Linked DNA regions of Oryctolagus cuniculus. The protein of the gene in region 2 interacts with the protein of the main gene of each other region in a pairwise test. Links are inferred from orthologs where the notes say so. Each region holds a gene or a part of one and is shown on either strand. Other genes may lie near its edges. The genes, in order: CKAP5 and TACC1.

Region 1 (2,901 bases), on a different chromosome or scaffold from region 2:
GACCCTTCACTAAGAGTGCTATTCTGGTAGGAAAGCAAAAACCAAAACCTAAACCTAAATAACAACAAACTCTGCCACAGTCTCCAAATTTCTGAGAAGGGACAATCACAAAATGTAAGCATTCAAAATACCAAATTTGCTGTCACTAGAAAATGCATTACGCAGGCCCGTGAGATAAGATACTAGGAGGAAAAACTGCCTTGTGACAAACAGGAAAGTGACGTTTACATCTTTATCGTAACGATGAGAATACTGTGCAGCAGTGAAACACGAAGAACGTCACAGCCAACAGAGAGTGAATACGCCAGGGCAGGAAACCAAGCACACGTGTGTCGCAAATGCACTGTTTGTCCAAAAATATCAAATGTTGGACATCACTAGAAAGGACTCGGCAGACGTGAAAAGGAGGCCTTTCCCCAATCACCCAAACTATGGTCTGTGCAATCGTGGAATGTTACTGGACATTCTGCTCACCACACTTCAAGACAGACTCTCAAGGTCTTGGGGAGGGGTCATCTGAGGTGTGAAATGTAAAAGTCTAACTGGTTAAGAGAAACAGCTGAAGCTTCAGCCTAGCAAGATACATGCAGTGAGAGACCATGACTGGAGTCTGGGACTCACAAAGGAACACGGTTCCATAGGCAGACACACACTTCAAGGCAAGAGTAGGTGTGCGTCCCTCAACTTGGACATAACCCCACGTGGGACAGTGCTGAGAGCTCTATTCTGTCCTGACGAGGGAACTGAGGAAGCTGGGTGTATCTTCTTGGCTTCAGGCTCACAACAGCTTTCTTCTATGACTGAAACCTCCTAAATCTTTCTTAGGATTCCAGATCCTGTGGGTAGTAAATCTCAGACAGTAGCTAGTTCACTGTGAGGACAGCAACATTTCAACTTCAACTTGGAGTAAGCATTCATTCATGTCATTTACAAATACTGAATACCTGTTATGTTCCAGGCAACAAACCAGACAAAAATCCTTTTGCTTTGTGCACGTGCAGACACACACCCACATACACATACACATACACATACACAGGCAGGGAGAGACACACTGAATAATTAACCTGGCCAGTGCCACATTGGATGGTATGTCAGAGGTGGCACATATTGCAGCAGGGTGAGGAGTATATCAGAGGTTTTAAATAAGATCTCATTGGAATGGTAAAGGAACAAGGATCTGAAAAGGAAAGGGGGCTGACTAACATGAGTGTTTTAGGAGAGTATTCTACATGTAAGAAACGGCCAGGACTGGAACCCAAGGAGCCTGTGTGTTCCAGAAACAGCAAGGGGGCTGGTGGCTGGCTTGGATGGAAGACCAGCTGGGGAGGGCATTAGGAGAGAGCTCCCAGAGTGTCAGGGCCATGCAATGCAGGACCTTTGTAAGGGCTTTTGCTGGGCACAAGTGAGTGTCTCTGGGGAATGGTGAAGTGTCATTCTGATACTAGGCATGGAGAAGAAATAGAGGTAAGGGCGAAGGCAGAGAGATCAGAGAGGAGAGGTGCTGTCATCCAGGTAAGAGATAACGATGCCCTGGAGCAAGGAGGTAGCAGGGAAAAGTGAGGACAGGGTACAGGGTAGTGGAGGTGGTGGTGATGTGGATCTGCATACAATCTGCAGGTATAGCCTAAAGGATTTCCTGAAGGAGAGGAAAAGAAGACTCAAAAGCTTTGGATCTGAGCAACTAGAAGGACAAACTGCCTTCCACCAAACAGGAAAAGAACACAAATGCACAGGCTTAGGGGATATCAGGAGCCTAGTTTTCAACATGCTGAGTTCAGGAATGAAGCTGATGAGCCCATTCCTGGAGCTGCTAAGGGAACCCATACCTGTTGAAGTGGGAATTCGGCCTTTGCCCTCCCTTTCCATCTCAATCACCCTGAGGCCTCTTTCAACATAGCTCTGGAAGAACTGTGAGGAGTTTTTCAGAAATGGTTCGATGTCGGCGTCTGAGTATTTCTTCTTATATTCATATAACTCTGCTAGGCCCTGGTGAACAAGAAAAAGGAAAAGGTGTGGGTAGATGCCAGTGCCCCCTTTTCATAAAGGAGACCCTCACTGAGGTTAGCCTTTTTATTCTCACCTCTTTAGTATTCTCTTTAGAGCCAATCTTCTTAAAAATCTCAGCTAAGAAATCATTCACTTTGGCCTTCGATGATTTTTCATCCTGAAAAATTAGAAGACACAAGGAAGAACTGGTTAGAGTTGTTAATAGGAACCAATGGCTAGATGGGAACAGGAAAAAATCTCTCAAGGTCTGGACCTTCCCGGTGTGTCTCTGTGGACAGCAGAAGCATCAACACTCTAGCACCTAAAGCAAAAAGTACAACACTGGCGCTCTGGTTACTGAATGCTTCCGCCTCAGGTTTTCTTTTTTTTTTTTTTTTTTTTTGACAGGCAGAGTGGACAGTGAGAGAGAGACAGAGAGAGAAAGGTCTTCCTTTGCCGCTGGTTCACCCTCCAATGGCCGCCGCTGCAGCCGGCGCACCGCGCTGATCCTGGCAGGAGCCAGGAGCCAGGTGCTTTTCCTGGTCTCCCATGGGGTGCAGGGCCCAAGCACCTGGGCCATCCTCCACTGCACTCCCTGGCCATAGCAGAGAGCTGGCCTGGAAGAGGGGCAACTGGGACAGAATCCGGCGCCCCAACCGGGACTAGAACCCGGTGTGCCGGCGCCGCAAGGTGGAGGATTAGCCTATTGAGCCACGGCGCCGGCTCCGCCTCAGGTTTTCACCTCAACTTGATGAAGGAGGAATTGGCCCATTCTCCTGAATTAAGCAAAGTTCACAGTGGATTTATCTGCTCACCAATGCCTTAGGCACAGACACAGAGATCTTTCTTGGAGGTCAAAATGCGCACAGATGTAACTCACATTGCAAAACTTCAAGATGGAAACGGTTACAG
Region 2 (3,820 bases):
TTTCCCTCATTCCCATCACTGGGTTTGGAGCTAGTGAGTTACTCGTCAGATACATACAAGGTTGTAGTGAACTCCAGTCCCCCGCTGTGCTGTGGACACTAGAACTTACTGCCTGACTCTGTTTGGTACCTGTTGGACAACTTCCATGCCGTCACTTTTGACTTGTGATTCTCCAGAAGATGAACAGAGGACGAGCATGACCTCCCAGAAGAGCTTCCAGCAGCTGACCATGGAGAAGGAGCAGGCCCTGGCCGACCTTAACTCTGTGGAGAGGTCCCTTTCTGATCTCTTCAGGCGATATGAGAACCTGAAAGGCGTTTTGGAAGGCTTCAAGAAGGTAGTGTGTCCCTGTCCTCCCAGCCCTAGCTGGTGGTGTACTCTTATGGTAAGGGATCACCAAACATAGGCCAGAAGTGTGGGTGACCTTTGAAATAGGGGGACAGGGCCTACTGGCCTTGCAGCTTCTGACTCACTGGGTGGCATGTCCTGGTCATTCCTCTACCGGGTCCCGAGTGGAAGCCTCAGACGTGGTCGGAGTGTAACACAGAGCACAGCACAGGAGCTCTCCACCCAACGTTCTTTTTGGCAATTCACTTTTTCAGTGTTAGCAAAAGTAGAAGGGATTCCATATGGGAAAGATTCAACCTGCAGGTTCTAGAAGAAATTAAGTGTAACATTTCAAACAGAGATGTAAATATGCATATTATTTTACAGCACTGAAAAATCTTCCCTTTCATTTAAAAATAAAAGTGAGACCAGCCAATTTGTCTGGGAATGAAATTGCCATTAAGTTTTAAATAACTACCTTCCTAAGTAGGCATGTCGGTGTAATTGAACCTTACTTTTGTGATGTTGAAATTATTACTTGAAGGAATTATGTAGAATTCTTCAGTGAGAATTGTGTGTGCCTGTTACAAATTGCCATGGGATATAAATTAAGGGCATCTGAATTAATTGTTTTCCCATTTAAAACAATGAAACTGACACATGGTATATTGCTAGTAGAAGAACAAGACAGCTCATTTTAAATGTTCGCCTTGGAACAGAATGAAGAAGCCTTGAAGAAGTGCGCTCAGGATTACTTAGCCAGAGTTAAGCAAGAGGAGCAGCGCTACCAGGCCTTGAAGATGCATGCGGAAGAGAAGCTAGACAAGTAAGAGCCTATAAATTCGACATTTCCCATGGTGCTGTGGGAAGACGTTCAGAGACACAGAAGCAAAATTCACTGTTTTGCAACTTCAGGTTGAATTTGTGTTTTATTTCTTTTTTTTTTTTTTTTTTTAACCATCTCCACATGATTACAACATGAAAAACATAAAAAGGCACATGGTGTCTCCCTCTCAGCTCTGACTCCCACTGAGGTTTCAGCTCCTTCCTCACCCCAGGTACTGTCAGTTCTGTTTTTTCCTCCAGGGTGTACTTTTCTCCCCTTTATACAGACAGTTGTATACCTTGCTTTTGCTCAGTAGTCTGATTTTTTTTTTTTTTTAAGATTTATTTATTTGAAAGGCCAGAGAGAGGTCTTCCATCCACTGGTTCACTCCCCAAATGGCCAGAGCCGGGCCGATCCAAAGCCAGGAGCTTCTTCTGGGTCTCCCATATGGGTACAGGGATCCAAGCACTTGGATCATCTTCTATTGCTTTCCCAGGCCATAGCAGAGAGCTGGGTGGGAAGTGGAGCAGCCAGGACTCGAACTGTCGCCCATATGGGATTCTGGCACTGCAGGCAGCAGCTTTACCCACTAAGCCACAGCACCAATTCCAAGCAGTCTGGTTTTGAAAATCTTTATGGGACCGGCATTGTGGCATAGCTGGTAAGGCTACCACCTTCAGTGCCAGCATCCCATATGGGTGCCGGTTCGAGTCTCAGCTGTTCCACTTCCGATCCAGCTCTCTGCTATGGCCTGGGAAAGCAGTAGAAGATGGCCCAAATGCTTAAGCCCCCGCACCCACTTGGGAGACCTGGAAGAAGCTCCTGGCTCCGGATAGGTGCAGTTCCAGCCGTTGTGGCCAAATGGGGAGTGAACCAGCGGATGGAAGACCTCTCTCTGCCTCTCCTTTGTGTGTGACTCTGACTTTCAAATAAATAAATAAATCTTTTAAAAAAATTTATAAAAGAAATCTTTATGCATCAATCCATGAAGAGCTTCCTTGTTTATTTTTAAACAGCCTCATGGTATTCTGTTGTTGGAATGTATCCTTATTTAACCAATCCCTTCAGTTGGAAATTCAGGTTAGTTAAAATCTTTTGCTGGGGCCAGTGTTGTGGTGGGAAGGGTTAAGCTGCTCTGCTTCCAATCCAAGTTCCTGCTAATGTACATAGAAAAGCAGCAGATAGCTCAAGTGCTTGGGCTCTGCCACCCATGTGAGAGACCTGGGTAGAGTTCCAGACTCCTGACTTGAGCCTGGCCCAGCCCAGCCCTGGCCATTGTGGCCGTTTGGAGAGTGAACCAGCAGATGGAAAAAAATGTCACTCTGCCTTTCAAATACGTGAAATACATCTTTAAAATCTTTTCCTTCTGTAACAACGCTGCAATAAGTAACCTTGTAGATTATCATTTTGCACGCATGCGAGTTATCCTTATGACATACAGGAGAGAAAAGCAACTATTGGGCCAAAGAATATATGAATTTGTAAATAGGAAAATAGACATAAATGTATTTCAGCAATCAGAATTCATGTATTTGCTTTACTATACATTATTATTGTACATTTTTGGGTTGATTTATGCATTTTAAGTATTAGGGACACCAGCCCCTTGTGATATGAATTATGAATAATTTTTCCAGTTTCTAATTTACCTTTTTTACTCTTTCTATGGTACTTTTGGTATATAGGAATTTCCTCTTTTTTTATTTAAGATTTATTTATTTGAAAGGCAGATTTAGGTATCTTCCATGCACTGGTTCACACCCCAAATGGCTGCAATGGCCACGACTAGGCCAGGAGCTTCATCTGGGTCTCTCATGTGAGTGCAGGGTCCTAGCACTTGGGTCATCCTCTGCTGCTTTCCTAGGCATGTTAGCAAGGAGCTGAATAAGAAGTGGAGCAGCTGGGATTTGCACTGGTACCCACATGGGATGTTAGCATTGCAGGCAGTGGCTTAACCCATTATGCCACGATGCTGGCCCTGTAGAAATTTATTTCTGTGGAGTAAAGTTTATCAGGCATTTCTTCTACAGCTTATGTATTTCCTGTCATAGGAACAGAGATCTTCACCATTCTGGATGGGAAATAATCTCTCTCCCATATTTCCCTTCTAATAGTGCTTTAATGGCTTAGGGTTTTTTTGTTTTTTGTTGTTTTTTTTTTTTTTTTTTTAATTTTTTGACAGGCAGAGTGGACAGTAAAAGAGAGAGACAGAGAGAAAGGTCTTCCTTTGCTGTTGGTTCACCCTCCAATGGCCGCCACGGCCGGCGCGCTGCGGCTGGCATACCGCACTGATCTGATGGCAGGAGCCAGGTGCTTCTCCTGGTCTCCCATGGGGTGCAGGGCCCAAGCACTTGGGCCATCCTCCACTGCACTCCCTGGCCACAGCAGAGAGCTGGCCTGGAAGAGGGGCAACAGGAACAGAATCCGGCGCCTCGACCAGGACTAGAACCCGGTGTGCCGGCGCTGCAAGGCGGAGGATTAGCCTAGTGAGCCGCGGCACCGGCTTGTTTTGCTTTCTTTTAAAGATTTATTTATTTTGGGGCTGGCACTGTGGTGAAGTAGGTTAATCCTCCTCCTGCAGCACCAGCATCCCATATGGGCACTGGTTCTAGTCCTGGCTGCTCCTCTTCTGATCCAGCTATCTGCTATGGTCTGAGAAAGCAGTGG

The links.
Region 1: the proteins of TACC1 (region 2) and CKAP5 interact in binary tests that used the Homo sapiens proteins (3 or more experiments, as listed by UniProt). The link is inferred for Oryctolagus cuniculus from reciprocal best matches to the Homo sapiens genes TACC1 and CKAP5.

Annotation. Positions count from the first base shown.
Region 1 is NC_091432.1:19,195,675-19,198,575, reverse strand, and holds part of CKAP5 (cytoskeleton-associated protein 5), read right to left. Parts: intron 2,168-2,901; coding exon 2,084-2,167; intron 1,990-2,083; coding exon 1,830-1,989; intron 1-1,829. UniProt on the Homo sapiens protein: Binds to the plus end of microtubules and regulates microtubule dynamics and microtubule organization. Acts as a processive microtubule polymerase. Promotes cytoplasmic microtubule nucleation and elongation. Plays a major role in organizing spindle poles.
Region 2 is NC_091433.1:88,578,057-88,581,876, forward strand, and holds part of TACC1 (transforming acidic coiled-coil-containing protein 1), read left to right. Parts: intron 1-176; coding exon 177-337; intron 338-1,046; coding exon 1,047-1,153; intron 1,154-3,820. UniProt on the Homo sapiens protein: Involved in transcription regulation induced by nuclear receptors, including in T3 thyroid hormone and all-trans retinoic acid pathways. Might promote the nuclear localization of the receptors.